Linked DNA regions of Xenopus tropicalis. The protein of the gene in region 1 purifies or fractionates together with the protein of each later gene. This does not show direct contact. Links are inferred from orthologs where the notes say so. Each region holds a gene or a part of one and is shown on either strand. Other genes may lie near its edges.

Region 1 (15,550 bases):
TCTTTCATTCAAACCACACCCTGGTTGCTAAGGTAATTTGGATCCTAGCAACCAAATAGCTTCTGAAACTCCAATAAAGTATGCTTCTGAAACTCCAATAAAGTATGCAAAGCACAATAGAAACATTCAAACCACACCCTGGTTGCTAAGGTAATGTGGATCTTAGCAACCAAATAGCTTTTGAAACTCCAATAAAGTATGCTTCTGAAACTCCAATAAAGTATGCAAAACACAATAGAAACATTACCACAGCAGTGAGTTTACATTATTCTAATGCATACAGTAATAAGTTACATTAACAGCCTGGCTATAAAGCAACTTTGCACTGCAGAACTTGTAATCAGCAGGAAATCTGTTCTTTAAATAGAGAGATTAACATTCACCATGGAGTTTAAAGTTCAATGTACAATAAAAACCAACACATTTATATGTTAAAGATAAAATGCAATATAGTATACGCCTTGTAATAAATGCTGGCCTGACAAAAAAAAAAACAAGTTATTTGCCATTATAATGAGTCAGTTCATATATATGAAAAAGGACCTATTGCATTCATGCATATGAAGTTTGTATTATCAGGAGCCAGGTAACCTGACTGTATGTTTTTGGAGTGTGGAAGTTAACCCATGCAAGAATAAGGAAACCTCATACAGGACAGGCCAAGTAGGCCTTGTATTGCTTTTTACTGTGTTCCAGCAGTCGGATATATTCCTGGCTACTAAAACATTTATGAACCCTGTACAAACACAAAGAAAAAAATTACCGTTTAAAGTCATCATGATAGAATTCAGATTTGCAAGCCACCATGTCACTGTTCTGATTATCATTGTCCCGACTCCTAACCCCACCAAAGACGTACAGCTCCATGCCAACACCACACGCAACAGCTCCAAACCTACGAAGCAGAAAGGTTATAGGAATATGACACTGCCAACAAATACAAACCATTGCTCATTAATGGCAGATTATCTTTAAATAACAAAAATACTCACCTCCTTTCTTTCAAGGGGCATATTGCAGTCCACTGCTGAGTTTTGGGGTCATAGCATTCAACAGATTCAAACAGTTTTCCATAGGAGCCACCTCCCATTGCATAGATTTTCTTTTTCATTGCTGCATAGCAGCCGATCTGTAATTAATCCATTAAGCCCAGGAAAGTCAACAAGAGTGCTAGCTACAAATAAAATATGGATTTGTTTGAGCTACAATAAAGGTGGAGAAAGGGGGCAAGAGCTAATCACTTTTGAAGTTACAAAATGACTAAAGTCAAGACATATTATCTAATACCATGCATAATTTCCAGGGGCCTTAAAATCAGTTCATGCCACACAGAGTGCAGACTTTAGATACCTGTTCTGGCAGAAATTGGGACAAAGCAGTCTGGGAAAGTCAAACAATTAATAAAAATAACAAATGATGAAACATCTGTTTTTGTCATGTGGATCTATTTTATAATTATTTTTTTTTCTAGAACACTTCTAATAACAATGTTGTGTGGCCAAGAGAATTAATTAAAAAAAAAAAAACCCTCCCATGAACAAGCAGAAAGACAGGTTCCTTAGTGTTTACAATTCCCCACAAAATATTAACAAAAAATATTTTAGTTAATTTATAAGGCTAATGGCACACTGCCAATGGAAACACAGATCTGACCCCCTTCTGCCCATATGTGTGCCATTGAAGGGGAATCTGCCTGTCACTACACATGAGCCAGATTTTGCTATATATAGGTATAGGGATGAGTAGATTACTCTCCTATAAATGCAAACACATGCAGGGTGGAAGAGGAGGCCAATTATGAGTTTTTACCAATAATGCAAATCAGGCCATTCCTCACTTATGCAACTTGTGTCACTGGACTGAAAAATATTATTAAATAAAAAAAAACCTAGGAGCAAATTTCATAAAATTCGTATCTTTAATTTTCACGTTTGTTTCTACCACAATTAAACTTACTTTTTGAAAGCATTTATTAAAAAAACAAATATAAAAAGCACAAATGAAACTAATTGGGTAAGAGTTTTTCTTGGTTGTACACTGAATAAAGTCCAAAAATTCATGGTTTTTACACTTAATAAATTCCAAAACTACACGGTTTAATCAATTAATATTGTGCGTTGGCCCATAAGTTTATAACTGACGGCAGCACAGATTATGTACAGTAAATCAGCAGAAAAAAGATGAGGAGCTTCTGGGTGGAACTTAGAGGCAACATTTTTCACTGCTAAAGGGCTGTGGTTGGCTTGGGCTGGGACAGAAGCCCAAAACATTATGTACATCATTGCTAGCATAATTCTTTAGTTAATATTGTAATTACTTTAAAGGAGAACTAGAGTTTATGTACTGTTGCTCTACACTAGTAAAAGCTGTGTGCTTGCTTTAGAAAGACTACTATAGTTTATTTAAATAAGCGGCTGTGTGTCAAAGGGTAGCGGGCATATGGTAGTGGCTTCATTTCGCAGGAGAATTTGGGCCACTTCAGAAAACAAAGTGCTGCATGTGCTTTCCCACCAGCAATTCCCTATACTGCTGGTGGAAAGCATTTCAGGGAGATTTGTCTACCGCAGTAGACGAGATTTAATTTTACTGTTATTTGAATGTGAACCACGCACTTAGGTGCATAAATAAGCCCTCTAAGCGTATGGAAGGTAGTGCATGCATAATCATTTAGCTAAGCTTTTCATATTTAACAATAAACAATATCAGGGGCCTTACCTTCCTAACCATAGTCATGTTTTGCTGTTTGCTCCATGTTTTTGTGCATGTGTCATATGATTCCATAGAGAGTAGTTCGGAGTCCCCATTTTCTCCTCCAAGTACGTAGATCACTCCATCTATCTCCACCATGCCGAAACTATGCCTAGCCTAAAGCACACAATAACCTACATTCAATATTTATATACTTGATGCTGCAGCATGTGTCCCTGTATTGTAAAATTACTTAGGGCATGTTGGATAAAACACTGGAAAAGGTCAGCTAGCTATAGCCTAAAGAATTTCCATGTACTAGACCAAACTATTTTATGGCACTGACAAAGGAAAAAAAATATTAAGGCAAGTAAGTGTGTCTTTTGGTAGTGTTGAAATATACAGTGAGGAACATAAGTATTTGAACAGCCTGCGATTTTGCAAGTTCTCCCACATAGAAATCATGGAGGGGTCTGAAATTCACATTGTAGGTGCATTCCCACTGTGAGAGACAGCATTTAAAAAAAAAAATTCAGGAAATCACATTGTATGATTTTTAAAGAATGTATTTGTATTTTTATTTTTTTTTAATCTTTATTTATAACTTTTTGATATGGGGAGGGGGATACAGAAGGAAAAAAGGAGGGGGGAAAGGTGTTCAGTTTTTAGTATCATAGAAATAGCATTTCACAGTAAATCACATCATAATCAATATTATAATGCATACTTTTTTGGGTAGAGCTATATGGTTTCCGTATCTAGAAAGAAGAATGTATTTGCATTACACTGCTGCACATAAGTATTTGAACACCTGAAAAAATCAGTGTTAATATTTGGTACAGAAGCCTTTGTTTGCAATTACAGAGGTCAAACGTTTCCTGTAGTTCTTGACCAGGTTTGCACACACTGCAACAGGGATTTTGGCCCACTCCTCCACACAGATCTCCTCTAGATCTGTCAGGTTTCGGGGCTGTCGCTGAGGAACACAGAGTTTCAGCTCCCTCCAATGATTTTCTATTGGATTTAGGTCTGGAGACTGGCTCGGCCACTCCAGAACCTTGATATGCCTCTTACAGAGCCACCCCTTTGTTATTCTGGCTGTGTGCTTCGGGTCATTGTCATGTTGGAAGACCCAGCCACGACCCATCTTCAATACTCTGACTGAGGGAAGGAGGTTGTTGCTCAGAATCTCACAATACATGGCCCCATTCATCCTCTCCTTAATACAGTGCAGTTGTCCTGTCCCCTTCGCAAAGCATGATGTTACCACCCCCATGCTTCACAGTAGGGATAGTGTTCTTGGGATGCAACTCATCCTTATTTTTCCTCCAAACACGGTGAGTTTCAAGTTTAGACCAAAACGTTCTGCTTTGGTCTCATCTGACCACATGACTTTCTCCCATGCCTCCTCTGGATCATCTAGATGGTCATTGGCAAACTTCAGACCATCTGGTCTGGTGATGACTTGAGCAGGGGAACCTTCCGTGCAATGTATGATTTAAAACTATGACAGCGTAGTGTTCTACTGAGCTTTGAAACTGTCATTGACCTGCTCCTCCCTTGTAGTTCTGGGCTGATTCCTCACCTTTCTTATCATCAGTGATAACCCACGAGGTGAGATCTTGCATGGAGCCCCAGTCCTAGGGAGACTGACAGTCGTCTTTAGCCTCATCCATTTTCTAATTTCTCCAACGGTTGATCTATTTTCACCAAGCTGCTTGGCAATTGCCCCGTAGCCCTTTCCAGCCTTGTGGAGGTCCACAATTTTGTCTCTGGTGTCTTTTGACAGCTCTTTGGTCTTGCCCATGGTAGTAGTTGGAGTCTGACTGACTGTGGTGTGGACAGTCTTTAAAGAGCTCAGACAGGTGCTACTAATTTAGATTAATGAGTGGAGCAGAGATGGACTTTTTAAAGGCAGAGTAACAGGTCTTTGAGAGACAGAATTCTTGCCGATTGCCAGGTGTTCAAATGCTTATGTGCAGCAGTGCAATACCCCTCCATGTTTTCTAAGTGGGAGAACTTGCAAAATCGCTGGGTGTTCAAATACTTATGTTCCTCACTGTATATCATTGCTTCCTTGTTTTTGGCTTGCCTCGAGCCAGAACAGCTGAGAATCCGAAAAACATGCTTGTTTCTGTAAGAATAATTAGCCAGCATCTCCACTGTTAGCCACAGGTCTGTACTGGAAGTTGACTAGATTGACTGCATTGCTTGATCAGTCACAGAGGGCATACTGACAGCTGACTGCAGGGACACTGATCCCTGATAAAAGCTTTTTGGGGTATACTAAGCAAGTTTCTGAATTAACCTAAATGACATAAAATAAATGAAAAGTTTGAATACTCTAAAACAATGCCGCAGTATTTCTCTGTAGGACACTGAAAAATGTTTTCAGTCCAACCCACAGCAAAAGTCTCTGATCTGAAGAAGTTACAATAGGCTTGTGGTGCTGGTTGGTCTGCTTCATTTATTATGCTTGGGAAGCAGATGAAAAACCAGACTGAGCAGCCAGTGTCAGGGTGTACACACCCTATTCTGCCTGCCTTAGTCACAGCTCTATAAAAGAAGCCCAAGGCAAGGGAAGGTATCCCAGCACAAATGGTGTCCTATTCTTTCTTGTGATCTAGGGAAGAGAATTGAAACAGATACACACATTTGCCTGCAACAATTTCAATTTAGAAAAGACAAATGCAAGGCTAAACCTTGTTTGTACGATATTCGCTGCGTGTATGGCGGCTCGACGAGGCGACCGATATCACAAAAAGCTGCGGTTATCAGTCGACTCGTCGATCAGCCAGGTTAAAAGATTTTGATGGCGCCCAAGCAAAATCTACGGTCAGGGCTGAATCAGCAGAAGGAGGTAGAATTCCTATTGTTTCTACCCCCATATCTGACGATTCAGCCCTAAACGTCTGTGGAGGATGGGAACGATCTTTCGTGTAACCAGTGGTCAAGATCATAAATCGCTGCGTGTATGGCCGACCTTAAGGGCTTGAGAGGATTTGAAGTGTTTTGTGACTCCAGTACTTTGTGTGGGACAAAATAGTTGATATTACCCCCATCACATTTACTTTGAATGGAAATTGCCTGGTGCAGTTTATTCAGTTGATTATAGCTTCTTAAATAATAAGTCATAATTGCTTTCATAACACTGCACCAGGTTCATTCAAGTGATTTCCAAATAAGTGGATAAGGGGCAATTAAAAGTATTTTGTCCCCCACCCACGGAGCTACAAAGCCCTGCAAACTTCCTACAAAGCATTCCTAACTATCGTGTCCCATTTCCCAAAGTAGCAACTTTTAACGAAAAGAATATCTTATCATAAATCATTCCTAAATATCATTGGTTTCCATTATTTTCCAAAATATATAGTACTGTTAGAAAACTTATTTAATGAAAAAGATAACAGTAAATACATTTAAAGCACTGCAACAAATATCAATTAGAGCTGTTAAATGTAAGGTTTAAGAGAATAAAAAATGCATTGTTATGGATATGCTGGCAGCAAGTTAGAATCATTTTCATGATTCATCTCAGCATTCAGTGCTGATGCAAAGGAAGGCCATAGTGCCAAAGCAGTAGCATTATAAAAGTATAAGGTATGTAGTAATGTAATGTAATGTAATGTAGCAGTCCTCCTTGGCTGGCTTCTGCTGAATAAAATGTATAAACAAATACTGCTTTCAACTGCAATTACAATTAACTTTATAACCACTGACAATTTGATATTAATTTAGGCTGGAAAGTTTCTTTATTAATGCAAAGACAATCCAAGGTGTCACAAACAATGTCAAACACACAGGCAAGTACTGTTTATGGCAACTTGCTGCTTATTTAGAAAAGGAATGTCTACTTTTGGACCTACAGCTGATTCTGCCAAATAGCCCAAGATGTAGCAGGAGAGAATCTGTGAGGCTACCCATCATACAGAAGATAACAATGCCTTGCCATTACCTCAAGCATTGGAGGTAGTGGACTCCAAGCATTGTCATCAGGATCATACTGTTCTCCAGTGTCCAGGGTTTCGTTGTCTTCATTTTGACCTCCAAGTACAAACAAAAATCCCTCTGCAAAATGAAGAAAAATATGTGGGATGTGAATTACTATGCAGTTCCAAATACAGAAGTATTAAAGGACATCTAAAGCCTATTTCACTAGCAGTGCCAAAAAAAAGGCACCCCCTGTAAAACAGAACTCCCAGTAAACAATGCACAGCAAAAAAGATGGCCCTGCTCCCCATAACAATCTTAAAAATGTGGAATCACAAGAAAACAACTTTGCTTGTTCCTGGTAGTTTATTATTTCCTACCCCAAAATGTTTTATCCTGCTTTCCTCTTCTTCGCACTTTCATGTTTCTTAAAACATCTCCAGCCACTTCCTCCATCAAGTCAGAAAGGTATAGAAATCACTGCCTCTCTACTCTCCTCTCCTTCCCTCTCAGCACATGAAGTCTTTAAAGTGCTTTGCTCCATAACTCCAGTTAACTCTTTCTCCTCACATAAAACAAGAATATACAAATCCCACTCTCACCTTGCATTCCTCTCTCTCCTGTTACTTGCTGCCGGTGACATTTCCCCCAACCCTGGCCCTTACCCTATCCCTGTTTTGTTAGGGCCACGTTCCCCAAACCCACCTTGTACCCCTTTAAAGTACAGAAACCTTACCCCTATACCCAAAGCCTCTGTTCAAATTTCCTGTGCCCTCTGGAATTCCCGCTCCGTCTGCAACAAAATCACCTCCATCCATGACCTTTTCATCACTAAATCGCTTAACTCAGTGCTGTCCAACTTCTGCGGTGCCGAGGGCCAGAATTTCTCTAGCATACATGGTGGAAGGCCGCTAATAGAAGCCAGTTTTGACCACTCCCCTTTAAACCACGCCTACTTCAAACCACACCCATTTTATCACAATGGTGGTAGTGCAGCAAAAACCCAAATGGTCCTCACTGCAGGGATATCAACCATCATTCATTTGTGAAAGAATTTTATTATGTCATATTAAGACATACCCTTAAATCAATATGCCTCCTCCTCCCCTGTGTATAGCACAGTAACCCCCAGCACATAATTACACACCTTAGGGACCATTTATTGGCTATGTCCAACTGCTAATAAACTATGGCACACACACAGGCAGTACTCTGCCTGCCCTATGCTGCCTGTGTGTGCCATACTCTGCCTGCCCTACCCTGCCAGTGTGTGCCATACTCTGCCTACTCTACCTGTGTGTGCCAGACAGCATAGGCCAGGCAGTACATACAATGTCTGAGGTGTGAACAGGTGAGGTGTGCCTGAGGTGTGAACACTGCAAGGGGATGAACAATTCAGGGATTAAAAGGTGTGAACAACACAGGGGATTACATTTTTAAACAATACAGGGGGTTTACAGCCTAAATCTGAGGGGAGAACAATGCAGGGGGGTAAATAATCTCAGTACTGATACCATTTAAAGCTTACACAAAGGTAAGCCATCAAAGCAGCCAAACAGGTGGGGGGCCACACAGAGGGGGGTCGCAGGCCACCAGTTGGACAGCACTGGCTTAACTTATTTGAAATACCTGAGACCTAGCTTTCCTCTACTGACACTGCCTCACCTGCTGCTCTGTCCTTTGGGGGCTACACCTTACGCACACTCCCAGACCTGGAAACAGGGTAGGGGGTGGGGTAGGACTCCTTCTCTCCCCCCACTATTCATTTAAAGTCCTTCCACTTCCTCCTTCTCTTTCATTTTCCTCATTTGTGGTTCACTCTATTAGGCTCTTCTCCCCTGGTTCGCTTCGCATTGCGGTCATATGCCACCTCCTGGACCAACCTCGCAATTCTTTGACAACTTTTCTGCCTGGCTTTCTTACTTCCTTTCCTCTGATTCCCCATCCATTGTACTAGGTGACTTCACTCTCTCACCATATCTCGCCTGGACTACTGTAACTCCCTATTAATTGGTCTCCCCCTCCAAAGACTGTCCCCTCTCCAGTCCATAAGGAATACTGCTGCCAGGCTCATACACCTCTCCAACCGCTCCTCCTCTGCCATGCCACTCTGCCAATCTCTGCACTGGGTTCCCCTACCATCCAGGATAAAATTCAAACTAATGACTCTCACATTCAAAGCAGTTCATAACTCTACCCCACCCTACATCTCTGAACTCATCTCTAGGTACCATCCAACCCGCTTGTTACACTCCTCTACTGACCTGCTCCTCAACTCCTCTCTCATTCTCTCCTCACATGCTCACATTCAAGACTTTGCAAGGGCTGCCCCCCTTCTCTGGAATTCACTCCCACAAACTGTCAGACTTTCCCCCAATCACTCTGCCTTCAAGAGATCTCTAAAAACGCATTTATTTAGAGAAGCTTACCCTAATCTAGTTTAACATAACCTCAGCGTGCTGCTAAAAGCAATACCCTGTGCCACACCTGTCACAACTCTGGTCATGCCCATTCCCACACCTTGTGTCTCAACCCTTTCTCCTTGTAGATTGTAAGCTCTTTTGGTCAGGGCTCTCTGCACCTCTTGTATCGGTTATTGTTTGCTTTATATGTTACTCTGTATGTCCAATGTATGAAACCCACTTATTGTACATCGCTGTGGAATATGTTGGCGCTTTATAAATAAATGTTAATAATAATAATAAAATGTAGCCTTGTGCACCAAAGTTGGTGGCCACCATAATAGGCCACCAAAAAGCAGTTAATTGTCATCAGAATTTAAATGACAAGTAACAATTTTTGCTGCACTTGGGGAGGGGAGGGCCAGTTCAGAGAACCCCTAATTAACAACTTGTACTTAATGATAATTAAGCTAGCATAAATCCATACAAAATGACAAACCATTCTGGGTTTCAATATTAAAATGTATTTTAAAAAAAGCCTTAAGGCAAGTCCTAAGTATCCAGATAATAGCTCTTAGAGTTATATTTAGATATTTCATCTTTAATATGAATGGGTGCTCCTCCTGAAGAGTCCAGGAGATGCCATCTCAGATTTCTAGTTACAATATAGTAGATTCACTTACAGGATGCTCTAGAAGTAAATGATAGTAATTTGTTAGCATGAGAGCAGCATGGAGTTACCGTATATACTCGAGTATAAGCCGATCCGAATATAAGCCAAGGTACCTAATTTTACCTAAGAAAACTGGAAAAACGTATTGACCCGAGTATAAGCCTAGGGTGGGAAATGCAACTGCTACTGCTAAGTTTCAATAATCAAATAACAGATAAATAAATAATAGATAACTTTAGAGAAAGAAAAATGCTACAGCAGCAGACAAAAGCAAGTTTGGGAAGGCTAAGGAAGCTGCCATACTAATTATCAAGTACAGGTATAGGACCCATTATCCAGAATGTACGGGACCAAGGGTATTCCGGATAAGGGGTCTTTCCATAATTTGGATCTCCATACCATAAGTCTGCTAAAAATCAACAAAATATTAATTAACCCCAAAATAATTGTTTTGCATCCAATAAGGATTATTTATATCTTAGTTGGGATCAATTACATGGTACTGTTTTATTACTACAGAGAAAAAGAAAATCAATTTTAAAATTCTGAATTATTTGATTTAAATGGAGTCTATGGGAGACGGGCTTTCCGTAATTCGGAGCTTTCTGGATAACGGGTTTCCGGATAAGGGATCCGATACCTGTACTTGCCATCCTGCTGTGTGCTTTGTGCTCGTCCCATTGGTTCTGTGCACTGTGTGCTCTCCCATCATTAGTGAATCGCCTTTACCAAAAATAATTACATTACAAGTATTTACAATTAAATTTTTAATATCCTAAGTAGGCACAGTGCACCATTGGAGGTTTTTTATTTCTAAAGATCTGCCCTTAAGGAATGATGGTAGCAGTTTGCATACTCATAAAATAAAACAATGCTTGCAACGTTACATTAGCATGTCCAGAGGATAACAGATTAGAAAGCAACCAGTTTACCTTCGTTACATATCTATCTAGAGTTGTTCCCATTTCCCCAACTATTGCAGCGACTTCATCTCGAACTTCCTGGTTTGCCAGAATCAATATGCCCAAAACAATACATCTTTAGTCTGGTAGTTCATAATGATTTGGCCAAGGATGATTTACCATTTCATTATTGTCCATGCTATTCCTAAAAGTTTTTTTTTATACTTTTTTAGTGGTCTTTTTATGTGCCCTTTTTAGTGAATGTGCGCCCCATGTGCCCTTTTTAGTGAATGTGTGCCCCATGTGCCTTTGTCAGTGAATGTGTGCCATTGTGGGGCACTGCGGCTTGATGCACTTCCCATCGCTTCGGAACTTAGCGGCATTAAAAGAGCGCGTAGGTCCCTTAATGGTACAGTGCGCATGCGTGCATCATACGCGACGCTCGCTGTTAAAGTGGAGCGGTCACCCAGACATAAAAAGCTGTATAATAAAAGCCCTTTTCAAATTAAACATGTAACCCAAAGTCATTTTTTTATTAACACATCTATATACATTACATAAGCATTTAAAAGTCCCAGCTGTCAATCATATATTGCCTGACCCGCCTCTATGCCTTAGGCATAGGGGTGGGGCAGAGAGTTACTTTCACTTTCAACTCAGAACTCCTTAGATGTCACTGCACTTCTCACATTCCCTCTCCCTCTTCACCATCGAATTGTGTAACCAGTGCATGGACATGGGTATCAGGTCCCCCCATACTGGCACAGAAACAAGATTTTGGCAGGGTGCACAGCTTGTCTTAATAACAGTGTCCACAAAATGGAGCCTGCCTGTTATCTGCAATTGTGAATTTCAAGGCTGAATGAAATAAGTTTTCACGTCTCCACTCCACCAACGTAAGGTGGCAAAACAAGGGCTATGCACCTGTACTGTTGCAAACACTAACAAATGTATTTAAAACTGAATGATTACAAAATACATACAATAACCCTTTCAGTTGCTTTAAATGAGTTTAGTTTGCTGCACATTTTTTAAGATCACAGCATACCTGCAGAAAGAACCCCATGGTTTATCCTTGGTGTGCTTAGTGGTGCTAGTTCAATCCATAGCTGCCGATTTGGATCATAAAGAGGGCACATACAGCGCACTGAAGCCAGTGGTTTACGGGATCTGGAAATAAAATAAATAAAATCAATCAACTTGCTAATTATTTATACAAACAAATACTAAACACAGAGCCTGAAAGAAACTTTCCCAACCATTATCCCCCCTGTACCATCACCTGGAGGCTCAACCGTCAACCACAATCAAGATTCCTTGAAACTATGCATTAAATCAAAAGTGCAATATTATTTTACACTTCATGTCAGTGTAGTTGCTGGTAAATTTGTAATTGCTGTTCCTTTCCTCTGCTCTCTGAAGTAATTTGTTGTTAAATTCTGTTTTTAAACCTTCCAATCCCTCAAGTAGAAGATTATTCTCTAGAAAAACACCTACATAGGCCAAACCTAAGAAAGGCCATATCATGGTACTATACCCTGTTATGGCAATCGACCCCAGACCCATTAGCTAAGGCCAAAGAGAAACGACAAAGAGATGTGCCGGACCTTGACAAGATTATGTGGGATGACGCACTAGAAAAATTCCCAGAAATAACAATGGCACTCAGAGACAGATTAATTCAAACTAAGTTTATTAATTGTGCCTGTTTAACCTCCAACAGATTGGCAAAGTTGTATCCTCAAGCTTCTGACACATGTCCCAAATGTAATTCTGCTGTGGGCACCTTCCTGTATTTTTTTGTGAATGTCCGGTCATTCAACAGTTACGGTCCGCAGTTTTACAACATGCAAATGAAACATTGTACCTTCAAAATATTCTCTCTCCAAAGGTATGCTTGTTGGGGGTGCTGGAAGACCTGGGGCTATCATCATATCAACGTTTGTGTTATTTGCAACTCCTATTCTATGTCAAAAAAGCTATTCTGATAAAATGGAAGTCTACTGCAGCTCCTACTCTCACTTTCTGGAAGAAACTTATTAACGATCTGCTACCCAAGCAAAAATTGGTTATATATATATATCTAGAGGATCTCCAACTAAGTTTAACGCAGCATGGGATCTATGGTTAAATGCACAATCCTAAAATTCACACCAAGCTTGCCTTAGCCACCTATGTTTTCTTTCCTTTCTCTTTTCTTTTGTATTGTTGTAAAAATGTTCAATTTCTAAATAAAAACTTTCCTCAGCTGCCACATGCATTTCTCCTGACATTGCTCCGGACCTGGTGGTGACATATGTGTCACAGGTTACGCACCAGGTCAACTGTGGATTGTTGGGCTGCTGGTAGCTGTTACCTCCTCATCCTTTGACTGGATTGCATTGTCTCTCCCCTGGGAGGGCAGAGCCCCAGTGCAGAAGAGAAAAAATTAATTGGTGGGGCATGTAAAAACTTTTTCACGCAATTTTGCCACAGATGGAGCCGCCTGTGAAGTACAAACTCCAGAAAGAGCAAGTATCCCCATTCCCCGTATTTGCAGATGCCCATGACATCAGCAGCCCACCTCCAGGATAACACCAATTGGCACCTCACCCCTGCAGGCCAGCAAAGAACAATACATAAGGTGGTGATCCTAGGCACAGGGCATTCCTTTTCTGAACACAGGTATTGCTGGATGGTGTTTTCTGGATAAGATATCATCCTGTAATTTGGATCTCCATACTTTAAGTCGACAAAAAACATTTTGTTTTGTTTTATTTAAACATTAAATAAACTCAATGCCTTCAGTTATATTTAATTAATTATATTCTAGTTAGGATCAAGTACAAGGTACTCATTTATAATTACAGAGAAAAAAAAAATAATTTTAAAATTTTGAATTATTTGATTATAATGAAGTCTATAGGAGATATGGGTTTTTTGGATAATGGAGCCTATACCTGTTGTTATATTTACACAGAGTGCACACTTTGCAGTTTGATAGCGCTCAATGTGTACCATAACACACTAATGTGTACAGTCAGGTACCAATGAACTTGGTGAACAGATCAGTACACATGAACCAGATAGTGTTGTCATAGTGCTTTACTCAGCTCGAGGACTCTCCTCATATTTTGCACTAGTCATAATGCAAATCTATAGCTACAGAACCATACACAGGAACAAAAGTATCAATGCTTAATAAAATTACTATGCAAAATGTTAAACTGTGACCATTTTTTAAAAATAATTTATCTGCTCAAGGTACTCACGTTCGCTCTTCACCACCAACTGTAACTATGCACTCTGAGTAGCCCCTCGGTTTAAAGGAAGCCAACACTGCCTCTCCATGCTGAGGCTGGCTAAGCGGGATGTTGCTGCACTCTCTGACCATCTCTCGGACCAAGGGCTCAATAAGCATTTTCTCTCGCAGATAGCTGGAGTCCAGGCCAGAGACCCATAAAGCAGAGCTTACATCTTTCATGTGAACCTATGTGAACAACAGAAATGGTTTTACATTTTTTTTTTATATAACTGGACCGGCCATGCAACCTCTGCCAAGCAGCATTAAATAAATTAATCTCGAACAGCTACAAATATTTACTTTAGCGGGTGAATATTACAAATAATGACAGATTTTTTAGATAATGTCACTCTGTTATAAGAGGAAGCAACTTTTCAGATGCAATTACAGGTATAGGACCCGTTAACCAGAATGCTCAGGGACCAAGGGTATTCCGGATAAGGGGTCTTTCCGTAATTTGGATCTCCATACCTTGTCTACTATAAAATCAATAAAACATTAATTAAACCCAATAGGATTGTTTTGCATCCAATCAGGATTATTTATATCTTAGTTGGGATCAATTACAAGGTACTGTTTTATTACTACAGAGAAAAGGGAAATGGGCTTTCCGTAATTCCTGGCTCCCCTGAATCCTGGGGCCAGACTGGCTACATTTGCCTGTGAATGTTACAATGAACATGATTTATCAGACCCTCCCCTTCCCCACAAATACTTCCTAAAGACCCATCTATAGAAGCATATTCAATACGCCTCAACTGTTCAGAAGTCAACTTATCATAGAATCAGCAGTTCTTAGGTTACTGCATAAGTGTATGTCATTTTCCTTATTCTTTTAATGTCAATGTGACACAGAACCAAATCAGTCTTGAATAAATTAATTTGCTAAGTGTAATAACTCTTTGGGGCATTTGAATATAATTATTGCAAATGCAGTCATCTGATTAAAGCAAATTAGTAATTATATGTAATTCAAGGGTACAAAGCTGAACCTGTGTTAGCAAAAGAATGTCAGAACCTTAAAATGCACTTAAAGGAAACCTATACATTCAGAAGGAATACTTATCCAACAAAAAAGTTCATTAACAGGTCACTTATTATGATATAAATGAATATACTGACATTTACATATAAGTAAATATGGTCCTTTTTCATCTTTTACCTTGAGCCACCATTTTGTGATTGTATCTGAATCGGGGGTGGCCCTTATTACTTAAAATGGTAAACTTCTATTTAGTATTACCCAATAGCAAATACTATTAAAAATATATATTTTGTTGTGAAAACAGTATATTTAGATGAAGCAGTATTTTACATATGGGCTGTTTTATGAGTTCTTAGGGATAATGTTTTCCTTTAACTTTCTTGACAACTGTTGTGATAGCTCTAAGCATGCAGCAAGGTGTAGGCACCTCCTCCTTAGGGTACCCTTTAAGTTTCAACAGCTGGTATCAGGTGACCCAATTTTCAAAATTTGGAATGGTTATATGAAATAGTACTCCCTTTACTGCACGATAATGCACTACAACCCTATTTCCAAAATAGTTGGGACACTGTGTAAAATATAAATAAACACAGAATGGGATGATTTGCAAATCCTTTAAACACTATATTTAACTGAAACTAGTAAAAAGACTCTTTAACAACACTCTTTAACTGTTTGAGAACTATT
Region 2 (15,550 bases), on another chromosome or scaffold:
GGCTTGTATCTGTATGGCAGTTGGTTGAGGTTCACACCCAGGGCTACAGGTCTCTGGAAATGGACTTGTAGTCTTGGGTTAGTACATGCTTTCTTTTATTTTCTTGCATAATCATTTCTCAGCATAATTACTTTTTAAATACCCTAAAGCTTTGGTTTGCTTCGTTGATATAAAATATAGTCAGAATTTCCAAGAGCAAAAGCCATTTCTGAGGACTTGATGCTGATCTCATCGGATAGGGTTATAAGAGCTGTTCTAAAAGCCTGTTACTCTGTGCAGGCACTGTTAGCCTGTAAATGGAGCAAGCCAACAGTGCTAGTGACTCTGCCCAGAAGGGCTCTTTCTGCCAAGATTGCCTTAAGAATAAACAGTAAAAGTGTCCACAAATGTTCAGAGAATCTCTTTGGTTCCTTAGACCTCTTTTCCTGGGGCTGATCAGAGAGTTCATCCATCATTTAGGGAAAAACTGCATTGGATATAAGCTAGGAAGGCACCACAGTTAGGGATAATTTGGCTTACAGCAAAATGTAGGGTGAAGCCTAAGTTTGTTATGGCCATGTCCCTTAATCAGACTCTTCATATAACGTCACTTTTTCTCCTCCCTCTTATAAATCTCCCTATGTGTTGGGATGAACTGGGTGCATCCCTGTATTACAGTCAGACAGCATTTGGGTTCTAGCATTGCCCTGAAGGCCATGGCACACTTGTTTGTGATTTGCTCTGTAGTGGATGGGAAATCATGCAAATCCTTCTGCCACTCTATCCATGCAGTTTCTATCTTTCTGTCTTGTTTCAAACAAGGTATTTAGCGGTAGTAAAGGGGCCATAGGTTTGTGGGGGGAGGGGTTATTCTTCCACTTTACAGAGCGCTGGTAAGGCCCCATCTAGAATATGCTGTTCAGTTTTGGTCTCCAGTGCTCAAACAGGACATTATTGAGTTGGAGAGGGTACAGAGAAGGGCAACTAAGCTGGTAAAGGGTATGGAAAGTCTCAGTTATGGGGAAAGATTAGCCAAGTTGGGTCTGTTTACACTGGAGAAGAGGCGCTTAAGAGGTGACATGATAACTATGTATAAATATATAAGGGGATCACATAATAACCTCTCTAATGTTTTATTTACCAGTAGGTCCTTCCAACGGACACGAGGGCACCCACTCCGTTTAGAAGAAGGGAGATTCTGTCTAAATATCTGGAAAGGGATATTTTACTGTGAGAGCTGTGAAGTTGTGGAATTCCCTCCCCGAATCAGTCGTACTGGCTGATACATTATATAGCTTCAAGAAGGGGCTGGATGGCTTTTTAGCAAGGGAGGGAATACATGAGTTGGAGTTATGCCGCAAATTTCAGAGGCTTCAGATGGAGTGTTTTGCCTTCCTCTGGATCAACTAGCAGTTAGGCAGGTTATATATAGGCATTAAGGTTGAACTTGATGGACGTGTGTCTTTTTTCAACCTAACTACAGTATGTTACTATGTTACATTCTGCCCAATGTCCATTATGCTTATGAATCCACACCAACCCTATTGATTCCTTCCTTTATAGGAGCTGTTACCACACACAGCACAGACAGGAGAATTTCTTTCTTTTTTTCCTAAGGTGCAACACTCACACAAACACACAATCAGAAATGGAGAGCGGTGGCTGGTTGTCATGACAACAACTAGACAGATTTGTAATACTGTGGCTCTCGTACACCCCCTCATACCTCTCCCTCCCCCACACAGACTGTAGCCCCCCTATCCACAAAGTCACTAGCTGCCTACCCGGAGCTGGCAGGAAGAGGCACTGGGAAGCTGCGCTCAATATAATGACACTGGGTACCTCTCAGGTACATGCACTGAGCTGATACATTCATCATGACACTGGGTATTTTTAGTAACCAGTAATGAGCAGGATGCTGTGTATAACAATACTGAGTACCTATGCTGCAGATTAGGAACATACGACACTAGGGCATAGTAGTTCTGCACAATGATAAATATCCAGGCTGTAACATGGTGCAGTGCTGCCGTATACATGTATAAAGCACATGGGAGTTGGTGCAAAGTTGCTGGTTCCTTCGGTATAGAAAATAAACATACTAGCATGTATCTGTGTGTGCCCAGTGCTCACTGTCTCTTATCCCTGGTACTGAGGTAAATTGGAAAAATACCCTGGGAAAGGGAATACAGCACTATAGGCAATGTTGGAGAACACTTTGCACTGGATACCATTCTCAGCATCTATACACAGCGAATCAACCTGCTATATTAGAGCTACACGGTCAGCTTTTTCTGAGTTGAAAGTTTTCTATTACCAAACAACTACCTTATGTTTCCATGGACTCACCTAGGTAATAGTCTGCCAACACAACTGCTACATCTCTGCATTTTCCTGTCAATGACTCCTTCAGGTTATATTCTAACCTTATGGCACACCTAAATAGTTACACAAGGTTGAAAAAAGACCAAAGTCCATCAAGTTAAACCCTTTCAAGTGAACCCAGCACCCACACAAACCTATACTGACCTATCTATCCACTCACTTCCAGACCCATACTGACCTATCTATCCACTCACATACAGACCCATACTGACCTATCTATCCACTCACATACAGACTCACACTGACCTATTTATCCACTCACATACAGACCCATACTGACCTATCTATCCACTCACATACAGACCCACACTGACCTATCTATCCACTCACATACAGACTCACACTGACCTATCTATCCACTCACATACAGACCCATACTGACCTATCTATCCACTCACATACAGACCCATACTGACCTATCTATCCACTCACATACAGACCCATACTGACCTATCTATCCACTCACATACAGACCCATACTGACCTATCTATCCACTCACATACAGACCCATACTGACCTATCTATCCACTCACATACAGACCCATACTGACCTATCTATCCACTCACATACAGACCCATACTGACCTATCTATCCACTCACATACAGACCCATACTGACCTATCTATCCACTCACATACAGACCCACACTGACCTATCTATCCGCTCACATACAGACCCACACTGACCTATCTATCCACTCACACACAAACCCATACTGACCTATCTATCCACTCACATACAGACCCATACTGACCTATCTATCCACTCACATACAGACCCATACTGACCTATCTATCCACTCACATACAGACCCATACTGACCTATCTATATACTCACATACAGACCCATACTGACCTATCTATCCACTCACATACAGACCCATACTGACCTATCTATATACTCACATACAGACCCATACTGACCTATCTATACACTCACATACAGACCCATACTGACCTATCTATACATTCACATACAGACCCACACTGACCTATCTATACATTCACATACAGACCCATACTGACCTATCTATCCACTCACACACAGACCCATACTGACCTATCTATCCACTCACATACAGACCCATACTGACCTATCTATCCACTCACATACAGACCCATACTGACCTATCTATCCACTCACATACAGACCCATACTGACCTATCTATCCACTCACATACAGACCCATACTGACCTATCTATCCACTCACATACAGACCCACACTGACCTATCTATCCACTCACATACAGACCCACACTGACCTATCTATCCACTCACATACAGACCCATACTGACCTATCTATATACTCACATACAGACCCATACTGACCTATCTATCCACTCACATACAGACCCACACTGACCTATCCACTCACATACATAAACCATATATACCAACATCAATACTAACTGTAGATTTTAGTATCACAATAGCTTTGGATACTATGCTTGTTCCCGAACTCCTCTTAATGGGATACTGTCATGTTTTTGTTTTTTTTTATGGTATACTTTTTATTATTTCTACCAAAGTGCATAACTTTGTGCTTGTCAACATTGAACCTCATTTTCCATTTTGCTGCCCAGTTTTGTCAAATCCCTTTGCAAAGTGGCAGCATCCTGCATGGAACGTATAGTTTTGCACAATTTAGTGTTGTCAGCAAAACTAGAAACAGTACTGTCTATGCCCACCTCCAGGTCATTAATAAACAAGTTAAACAGCAAAGGACCAAGGACATCTGGCGATTTATGTCCTGCAATAGGGAAAAACTGCAGCTGTCATAACACTCTTTATGCCTTATTGTTCTATTCAGATCAATAGGGAATATGCTGCCTATGGCAGGAAACAGATCGGGAGCAGTCGGTTCAGTGCTGGGCACCATGGTGGTCACATCTGCTCTAAAAGTGGCCATATACGGGCAGAATGAAAGGAATTGTTCACCTTTAAATGAACTTAGTATGATGTAGAGAGTGCTATTCAGCAACACTTTGCAATTGGCCTTTTTTATTATTTGTGGTTTTTCAATTATTTAGCTTTTTGTTCAGCAGCTCTCCCGTCTGGAATTTTGGAAGCTCTCTGGTTGCTAGGGTCCAATTTAACTTAGGAACCAGGCAGTGGTTTGAATGAGAGACTGGAAAATGAAGGGAGGAAGACCTGAATAGAAATATAAGTAATAAAAATAACAATACAATTGTAGCTTCACAGAGTAATACTTTTTGACCCCCCATTTGAAAGCTGAAGAAGAGTCAGAAGAGAAAGGAAAATAATTCAAAAACAATGAAAAATAAAAAATAATGGCCAATTGAAAAGTTGTTAAGGATAGCCTATTCTATAACTAAAATGTAACTCGTTGGTGAACCACCTTTTAGGGCTCTGGCACACGGGGAGATTAGCCTGAGACTAATCTCCCCGAAATGCCATCCCACTGGCGAAAATGTAAACTTCCGCGATTTACATTTTCGCCGGTGGGATGGCATTTCGGGGAGATTAGTCGCCCGCGAACAGGGAGATTTGTCGCAACTAATCTCCCCGTGTGCTAGAGCCCTTAAGCTGCCGATTTGGCCCTTCAGACCAAGCTTATCTGTCTATGTATGGGCCCCTCTGAGGGGGGTTTTCTTTGTTATTAGATTTTACTGTGTGTGGGTTTCTGTACAGAGATCAATTATATAGCAACGAATGCATTGTTTTCAGCATTTTCTGCCGTCCCAATGGGTACACAGCCGTAGCAATCAATGGTCCCTATTTTATCTCTTTTCAGGAGCTGCAACCTCTGCAACCAAACATTGTTGCTTCTCAGTTTCCTTAGAAAAAGCAGCTGACATTTGTAATTGGTCCCAAACCAGACTTGTAAAGACTATTTCACTGGTGGTGCCAAAATGTTAGGTTCTTTCCTAAAAGAAGCACCAGCCTGGAGGAAAAATTTGCGCTATATTTCACTAGGGGGTGCCTAATATTTTGGCACCCCCCGTGAAGTAGACTTTACATGTCCTATAATGTATTGAAAGTAGGTTATTCCCCAGACCCTGCACCCCTTAGGGCTCTGGCACACGGGGAGATTAGTCGCCCGCAAAATCGCGGAGGTTTCCTCTCAGGGCAACTAGCGTATACCATCCCACCGGCGATTTACATTCTCGCCGGTGGGATGGCATTTTGGGGAGATTTGTCGCGGGCGACTAATCTCCCTGTGTGCCAGAGCCCTTAGATTGTAAGAACCACTTGGCAGGAACTCTTGGGGATGAGTAACAATATAGCTGGCCATACACATGCCTGTTACACTGTATGAAGTGATTTTCAGCAAGGGTATGCTGGGCAATGTTTCCAACAGAAACAAAGATGGTGCTATGGCAGATAAGAAAAACTTCTTCACGTTGGACTAAACCAGTGTTTTTCAACCTTTTTTGGGCAAAGGCACACTTGTTTCATGAAAAAAATCATGAGGCACACCACCATTAGAAAATGTTAAAAAATTTAACTCTGTGCCCAGCAGCAGTGCCCCCCTAGTACATTGGTGCCAAGAGCAGTGCCCCCCTAGTACATTGGTGCCCAGCAGCAGTGCCCCCTAGTACATTGGTGCCCAGCAGCAGTGCCCCCCTAGTACATTGGTGCCCAGCAGCAGTGCCCCCCTAGTACATTGGTGCCCAGCAGCAGTGCCCCCCTAGTACATTGGTGCCCAGCAGCAGTGCCCCCTTAGTACATTGGTGCCAAGAGCAGTGCCCCCCTAGTACATTGGTGCCCAGCAGCAGTGCCCACCTAGTACATTGGTGCCAAGAGCAGTGCCCCCCTAGTACATTGGTGCCAAGAGCAGTGCCCCCCTAGTACATTGGTGCCAAGAGCAGTGCCCCCCTAGTACATTGGTGCCAAGAGCAGTGCCCCCCTAGTACATTGGTGCCCTGCCTACGGCACACCAGGCAACATCTCGCGGCACACTGGTTGAAAAACGCTGGACTAAACCAATGATCCCAAAGCAGTGGCTAGTGAGCAACATGCTGCTCTCCAACCCCTTGGATGTTTCACCCCGTGGCCTCAAAGCAGGTGCTTATTTTTGAATTCTTGGCTTGGTGGCAGGTTTTGGTTGCATATAGGGGCTATCAAATAGCCAATAACGACCCTTATTTGGCACCCCCAGGAACATTTTTCATGCTTGTGTTGCTCCCCAAGTCTTTTTACATTTGAATGTGGCTCACAAGTAAAAAAGATTGGGGATTCTTTAACTAAACAAAGGGAAGGAAAGACAGGTGACCAGTCGTACATGCTCCCTCATACAGTATCCAGCCATTTGACACTAAACAAGTAACATTTTTTCAGGTGTAAGTGGGATGAGCAATGTTATCCTTTGCTAAACAGGCATAGCCAGCCTGAATAGTGTCCTGTCCTTAGTCTGCTTTGTAGGGTCTTAGAATGCTGTGATTTATTATGGAGCATATTCTCCCATGTTAAATGGCTATAGGCTATAGGACACGGTTAGTTTGTGCTTCAGACATGACCAGCTTGCCCTTGCTACTCACTGCACAATACAGGATAGTACAGATTTCTATGTATGGGTGCTGGGCTGTATATATTCATAGCCATTACTTTACACTACTCACAGACATATTCCTGGCAGTTTTAAGGTTCATTTATTATCACTGTTTACATGCAAAGAAAAAAAAACAGATGCACCCCTGGCCTTAACCAGCAGCTGAATTGGCCAATAAAATCACTCACTCATAAGCTGTATGCCAGTGGCCTGCAGGACTTGGCACAGTACTGCGGCATTCCTAACTGGCAGCATTGCATGGCAGTTTGGCGCTAGTATACCCCAGTTTTACCAACTTGCATTTCTGAGTGTTATCATCATCCCCTCCAATTTTACTAAAATTTTGAAGGCTAGGAGGTCCTTTGCACAAATAATCCAGAGCTGAAATCCATCTACCATAGACCTGCAGCAGGCTGCCATCTTGGAAATGTATATTATGCTAATACGCTAGCCCAAAGGCATCCTGGGAGTCACAAGAAGCTGAGGAAAAATTCACTATACAAGAATGTGACCCAATAGGGCTCATTTATGAACAAACATAGGTACTGGGCTGCACAAGTACAGTTGCCAATAGCAACCAATAAGAAATGAGTTTGAACAGGTCTTCTACAAGTTAAAAAAAAGGAAAGCAACAATCTTATGGGTTGCCATGGGTATTTACGTTGGTGCAGTTTAGCAGCTATTTTTGTAAATCAGCCCACACTTGCACTAAGGAACCAAGAAGTGGGATTATCTATAAAATGAAACCGTTCACCATTTGTGCTGTTTAAAACAAATAACATTTTTTTTCTTTTTCTAATTAAAACAATAGGCAGAATACATTTCCAACGCAATTCTTATTTATTGACCCAAACTAAACAAAACTGTGGCTTTCCCCTTTAAATACATGTAAACACAATTTTAAACAATATGGTTCATATACTATGTTTATGGATACAATCTTACCCATAGAGAAAGCTTCAAACGATTTATAAATATGTTGTTTTATTCATGTCATGTGGGACGGACATCTGTAAACTGCTTTATGAGATCATTTTTGATCCAGTGCGCTCCCCATCTACCTGCTAAATATTACAATTAAAGGGGACATACACCCATCCATAAAACAATGTCAAATTCTGCTTCTGAGCATTTTTTTTTCATTTACATGAACTTTTTTATGTTAGTAGTTTGCACACTGCAAATATCATTATGTGTAAAGGGGTCACCCTCTACTGTTCTGCTCAGTTCTATTACTTAGTGTGACAGAAGCTACAGAACTGTGCAGAGAAGCATCAGGAAATACTTCTCGCTTCAGAAAAACAAGCTTTTTTGCTATTCTGTCTGCCCAGCACCCAGAGAGCACAGTAAAGGATGCTCCTGTTACACATTCATGATATAAGCAGTATAAAAACTGTGAAATAAACAGAAAAATTAAACAGATGGATATATGTCTCCTCTAAGGGAATAAAAGTTTAGCAAGTTTCATGCTAAGTGACATTACCAGTAGAAGAGGATGTAACCCCTGGAGCCAATGCATGGTATGGTTTGTTATGATTAATACAGATTGACCATATCCCTCCTCATACAGAGCAAATCATTTGCATGTGTAACTGCAAATGTGTAAATGTCGAGTTCACACAGAAATTCATCCAGTCTCAGCAAGCACCAAAGTCAAATGTTTACCAAAAGACATAAAACTTGGTTAATAAAAGGCATCGTATCCCAGCTGTGAATCAGCAAACTGAAGCCAGGGCACCGAGGATTTCCAGTGTGTGTCCATTGAGCTCAGAACTGAACAGCCCCTGGCGAGACGTTGAACATGCTTGGATCAAAATTCTGACCTTTGAATGGTGATCCCTCTGCATCCCATCCTTTCTTTAGCATTTCATGCACTTTCTGTCAGAAACAAACAGGAGGAGATACAATGTCAACAGGTATAGGCAAAATCTGTGTGCCGGCGGGACACCAGGAAAAACCCGGTGGGCCCCAGGGTTGGGGGTGGGCACGCCAGGAGGGAGGCCCTGATGACTGCAAAGGGGTGCCCTTCAAGTTGCAGCCTTGGTGGGCCACCACTGCCCCAGTTTGATGTGTGACTGTGTGCTTAGGAAGAGAGACTTATGGCCATCATTTCCAATGCACTAAAGCACAGAAACCAAATGAGTTGTTTGTGGCCACATCCAAACGTTAAAGAAATAGCTGTGATTAGGTCAACCTATATATTTAACTTCCTATCAGTTTGAGGAATCAGGTTTGTCTGTGTGGAAACGGAGTCTAGTGAACTTTAGAAATGTACAGTAACATGTGAATCAGTGTATGAACAGAAGGAGGGAAATGTGTGGATCATGATACTTTTGTTTTTAGGGCTTACCAACTCATGGCTTTGAGGCTTCCCCTGCAACTTCTGGTGATAATCAAATGTTAGTCGGTCCAAAACAGCATGTTCCTCATCATCCACAGTAGCCATGCTGCGTTCTTTGTTGATCTTGTCTATGTCAATCTTTTCTTCATCTTCCAATACGGCATTCCACCAAACCTCGCCACACTTACTCAAGCTGATCTGTGGAGAGTTCCCACTACACTTTAAATACAATGTACTAACAAAGTTTCATCACGTTCTGAATGATACATGGAGGGGTTGCAGCACTTTTGTTAATTGGCAGCCTAGAGAATTAAGGTTCATGAGCAACATCACCTATGTGTTTGTATATTTTCCCGTGTATGTATGGGTTTCCCCTGGGTAGTTTTCTCCACACTCCAAACAGGCAGGTTAATGGCTCCTGGTAAAACTGCCCATAGTGTGTGAATATGATAGGGATCTAATACTGTAAGTTCCACTGGGGCAGGGACTCATGTGAAGGATGTAACAGCCCTGCTCAATTTGTTGGCGCTTTATTAAGAATAATGATAATAGGTTTGTTGCAAACTTGCATATGGATTATTAATGAACAAAAAGGGGAAGAATGCAGGACTGATGAGACAATTTTGGACCCTGAAGCAGAACTGTTAGCTGCATACCAACATCCTGCGTTTTATAGTCCCATTTAGGAAAGCAATGGGTGAAATGTGGAGGCAAGTATTACAATGCACAAAGGGAAAAAGAGAGACGTAGAGCCCCTGAAGAAGTCTTGAAGGCATAATGGAGAAAGGTTGTAAAAGAAGCAGATCATGGGATGAACATAAACTCATGAAGTGGTGATTTACTGGAATGTAAAGAATTTGGGTAGGCATTGGGTTTATTTAGATATAATTCTAGAAGGACTCTTGAGGCACTGTCAGGGGAGGAGGAACAACTAGCAAGATGAATAAGCTTTGCAGCAGGATTTATTGTAGACAGTAAAGCAGACAGCCTGCAGAGTGAAAAACCAGACAGCAGGGGACTGCAGCAAATCAAGATGTGTCATGATAAGGGAGTGAATGAAAATTTGGTGGAATCTACCATATGACTACACACAAACTACATTGGAAGGATGAAAGATGCAAGAGAAGTTTCTGAAAATGAAATATGGGGAGCACGGAAATGCTATACAATGTTTATTCAGAGAGCTTAGGAGCTCAATGGACACTCATAGAATTAAAAATATCTAATATCTTAGCCATAAAGCAAGACAGGGATAAGGCGTTTAGGGGAACTTTGAGTCAATGCAAATAAACTTGAATAAACACCCGTGAATCAGAAATAGGATACAAGTTGAATATATACAAATTGAATACTACATAAACCAGAGAAGTAGTTATTAATACAGTATGGAAGGAATACAGATGCAAACTTGTATCATTATTAATAACAAAATCCATGAGATCAAATATGTTTCCAAAAGAAAACTAGCAGGGAGAGTAAAATTTAATGGCAGAACCATAAAGCACCCAAATGCCAGATGTACCAAGAATAGGAAACTTTAAATATGCAATAAGAGAGAAAACAAACGCTTTAGTGTATTTATAATGTATAAGTTCATTTTTCTTTAAAAACTGCTATACACCCACCTATAACCACAAAGTTTAGAGGAGTGGGTAGTAACCAAGGAGCTGGCCAGCAACTTGTTCTTATTAAGTGGTGAGATGAATGGAAGGAGTATGGCCAAGCTGACTATTGATCTAAGTGTAGAAATTATTTAGGAGTTCTATTGGGAGTATGGTCCTGCTAAGTCTCAATAAGCTGATAATAACTGAAGATTAAACCACAGGTTGTGGGTCTCTCAGACATGGCCCATGTGATCTATATGCAGGGTGCATGGTGGGACCATGCTGATGGCAGTAACAGAGGGCTTATTCTGTATAACAAAATTAATTACTGTCACCTAGCAAGGCACCCACCTCTACAACTGACCTAAAAAAATGGCAAGTGAGTGGCATGGAAGAACACATGGGAACGTGAATAATTCAGCTCATGATTGACACCAGTCTCAAAGGAAATAAAAGATCCTGATTATTCATAGTGATTATATATGCCTTAACAAGCTGCACACAAGTCAGATTCAGTATCTTATTAAAGAGTCTTACCACAATACACTTTCCAGGTTCCAGACTCCAGAGAGAGGTCTCTGCATTTATTTTGTGAGTAAAGCTTCCCTCCACCAGAACACGTTCCCCTCCTCCTTCTCTCACCGCCACACGAATACAGCTACTGCGCAGGTCCACTGACACCTGAGGAAGAGGGTGCAGACAAGGGAGTCATACGCCCATTAGAATCAAAGGTGCTCTGTCCTTTACTCAATACAGCAACAGTAGCACAGGTATCACAGAAGATACCGAATGGGGGCCATTTTGGAAAAGGTAATTTTGTGCAATGCAAGTCAGCAGCTAAGCACAGTGATACTGTGCAATGAGTTAGTAAACAATAATATGCAGCTTGTTCCCAACCTGATTCCATAAGCAGAGCTCCTTCTTAATCCCCATGATATCTGTGGTTGGATAGGACATCCTATTATTATCTATGTACAGTTTATAAGCTCATTGTTGGGGGCTGTAATATGAGATAATAATGTGAACCCAGGTTTTATTTGGTCAAAGTTCCATGCTAAAGCAAATGTATTGCCCACTCACAGTCACTTGTTTTAACTCTGTTAACTGGCCATAATTAAATTGAAAATGAACACGGCTGTATATTCTCTTTTCAATATACAGCCATTAATAGTGTTCTGTGGTTTTAAAGAAACAGTAATGCAAAAAAATTAAAGTGTATCAAAGTAATTCAAATATAATGTACTGTTGCCCTGTGTTTGCCCCTACCCTACTATAGTTTATGTAAATATAGCTGCTGTGTAGCCACAGGAATAGCCATTCAAACTGAAATAGGGCTAAATGGCACAGGTCATTTAGCAGATAACAGATAAGCTCTGTAAAACACCATTATATTTTACAGAGCTTATCTGTTATCTGCTATGTAACCTGTGCCTTTTCTCCTTTTTCCAGCTTGGCTGGCCCTATGGCTACACATCAGCTTATTTATATATACTATAGTATTGTTTCTCAAGCCAACACACTAGGTTTACCAGTGCAGGGCAAAAGTACATTACATTTTAAACACAATTTTTGGTGTTACAATTCATTTAAATTAATATGCAAAGATAACAGAACCTCCATAGAAAGGGATAAAACCCACTGTTCTTAATATCAATTATAGTTACAAGTAACTTTAAAAATACAAATTTATGTTTGGATGTTGCTTGGCATTATAATTTTTTCATTATGCAAACACAGAAAAAAACCCCCAAAAATAATGTTTGCCTAATAATAACAATAATAACAATAATAATAATAATAATTCTAAGCAATGTTCCAATATACATTCATTACAAATTTGTAATGGGAGCATCATGGTGTAAGGATGTTTTTTAGCATATGGTACTGGCAGACTTCATATAATTCTATAATTATAGAATCTGCTGCCATCCACCAGGATGATGAAGATGAAACGAGGCTGGACATTTCAGCAAGACAATGATCCCAAACACACAGCCAAGGAAACTCTCAGTTGGTTTCAGAGAAAGAAAATAAAGCTGCTAGAATTACCCAGTCAATCAACCAACTTGAATCCAACTGAAAATCTATGGAAGGAACTGAAGATCAGAGTTCATAGAAGAGGCCCCTGGAACCTTCAAGATTTGAACACAGTTTGTGTGGCAGAATGGGCCAAAGTCCCACCTGAACAATACACGCCACTAGTTTCTCCTACAGGAGGCGCCTTAATCCGTCATTCCCAACAAAGGCTTTTCTACTAAGTATTAAATACATTTCAGTGTTCAGCGTGTTTAATACTTATTCCCTGTGTCATTTCACTTTACTACACATAATGTATGGACTTATTTGTTTTGATTTCTTTGTACATGTGGATTACTTTGGTTGTTACAGACATCTGGTGTAAATTTCATGTCAATAGCCCCATTAGAAATATATTTACTAAGAAAAACATGTTCAATACTTATTTTCCCTGCTATACAAGCAGCACTATATAAATAAATATAAATATGCATACAAACATATCTCCCCAGGGTTCTCTGTCCCTACCACAACTATTGTCATGACATTCATGACAAATTGTGAGGTTATTTATGTATGTTGGTATTTATGTTACACGTAAGTACACTGTGACGGATGTGAACACATCTACATTGCAGATAGGTGTATCTTCATACGTGAGATAGTTCCTATTTTTCTATTTACTAAAATGCCTTTCTTTTTATTAAAAGTTTTCTTAAAATATCAATATGTATTTTTAAAATAGTTTTCATGGGTATCGATATCCTTTGTAACCTCTTAAATATTCTCCCATTTAAATGGAAAGTTCATCTTAAAAATAATTTTGACTTTAATGAAGTCAGTGATATCCTAAGACAGTTTTTTTTTATTAGTTGCTGAAGTATTGCCTTTGCATTGAGCTTGCCCTGTTTTTTGCCACTAATCCATTTGATGGCAGGAGGTCGTCCCTAGCTTTAGCATCGGGAACAGGTCACATATGATCCTAAGGACAGAGGCAGGCATGAGTGGCGTGTCTGGGTTCCACCAGGGGGCCACCGCTACATTAAGAGCCCCACACCCCAGCAGCAGAGGTCTCTCGAAGGGGCCCATAAGGTTCTGTCCCAGTATCCTGCTGGCCCAATATGATCCTGCCCAGCGAAGTTCTCTATCACACCACCTGGGGCTGCCCAGAATAGTAGCATGAAATACACAAGGATAAAAACACACAGACCTACTAGTAGCAGCTACTTTTTCATGGCTACTTAACTCCAGAAAATACCATGCCATAGACAATACTGAGAAGTGCCTCTGCTAAAACACACATAGAGACAATTACCAGTAAATGATCAGCACTGTCTATTTTAGCAGCCGTGACAAGTAGCTGCTACTAGTAGCTCGGTGTGTCTTCACCCTAACGCTGTAGCAGCATCTGTATACTTTCTCTCACTTGTACTACCACCCATACTGGGAAATAAATTGGCATTACAGCTGCACAGTTTAGTCTTATTGTTTACAAATGACAGATTCCAGTCTTTCACATGGGAAAATGATATAATCATATAACACATTACTGTCTGATAAAAGACTGTACAGGTATGGAATCTATTATCCAGCAGGATGTTTGGGAAGGTTTTGGTAATCGTTTTTCAGATTTTTCTGTATAATGGATTTCATACCTGGTATATGTTTTTAATATTTACTGTGATAAACTATATGCCAGACATGCAGAATTACACAGTTACACACTGCGGCATACCACTCTATTTACTTCCCTCCCCAAAGCAGTTTCTAGATCCTTCAATGTATTGATCTCTGTCACCCTCTGCTGGGAAAATGGCTCTATAAGGCAAACACCTTGCCAGTTAGCATCATAACCATACATTGCCTTACACTGCCCCCTTTAGGACACAAGTCTTTGGGACTTGTCTCTTCTCAGTTTTCTGTAATAAAACTACATCTGCCCGCCTGTATATCACAAGTTACTCAATAAATATGGTGTTGCTTACCTGCCGACCTTTTATTACAGATTTAGGCACTGGAACTTTAATTTCCACATCTGTGTAATCCTGAGACCAAACATAATTCTTTCTTATGGCTCCATTGTAACTGTCAGGGTCAGCTTGGTAGTCTTCTTGTTCCCTGAATGGATGCAAATATACATATACTTATATATAAGAGTTGGGGTTTAATCATTTCCAAAAACCAAATGATCTAACATAGAAAAAAAATTGCAATAACTCAAAGAGGATAAGGGAGTTCTCAAGCTATAAACATTAAAGGAACAGTAACACCAAAAAATTCAAGTGTATAAAAGAAATTCCAATATAATGTACTGCTGCCCTGCGATGGTACAACTGGTGTGTTTGCCTCTGAAACACTACTATGGTTTATATAAAGAATGCAGCTGTGTAGCCATGGGGGAAGCTGTTCAAAAGAGAAAAGGCACAGGCAGATAACAGATAAAACACTATTGTATTCTACAGAGCTTATCCGTTATCTGCTATGTAACCTGTGCCCTTTCTCCTTTTTTCCAGCTTGAATGGCTGCCCCCGGGCCTACACCAGCTTATTATATATAGCCTATAGTAGAGTTACTGTAGCAAACACACAACTTTTACCAGTGCAGGGCAACAGTACATTATATTTCATTTACTTTAAAACTCTTTAATTTTTTGCTGTTACTGTTCCTTTAATGAAGAAGAGGGCAACGATGGAGAGTAGGAACGGGC

The links.
Region 2: the proteins of gan (region 1) and nudcd3 purify together in Homo sapiens (co-immunoprecipitation; 3 studies listed by BioGRID and IntAct, counting the BioPlex papers as one, with this or other methods). This does not show direct contact. The link is inferred for Xenopus tropicalis from reciprocal best matches to the Homo sapiens genes GAN and NUDCD3.

The regions. Positions count from the first base shown.
Region 1 is NC_030680.2:52,566,080-52,581,629, forward strand, and holds part of gan (gigaxonin), read right to left. Parts: intron 14,065-15,550; coding exon 13,847-14,064; intron 11,766-13,846; coding exon 11,644-11,765; intron 6,757-11,643; coding exon 6,644-6,756; intron 2,866-6,643; coding exon 2,716-2,865; intron 1,130-2,715; coding exon 993-1,129; intron 896-992; coding exon 764-895; intron 1-763. UniProt on the Homo sapiens protein: Probable cytoskeletal component that directly or indirectly plays an important role in neurofilament architecture.
Region 2 is NC_030679.2:126,191,900-126,207,449, forward strand, and holds the end of nudcd3 (nudC domain-containing protein 3), read right to left. Parts: intron 14,962-15,550; coding exon 14,829-14,961; intron 11,509-14,828; coding exon 11,365-11,508; intron 9,422-11,364; coding exon 9,233-9,421; intron 8,761-9,232; coding exon 8,650-8,760; 3' UTR 7,700-8,649; downstream 1-7,699.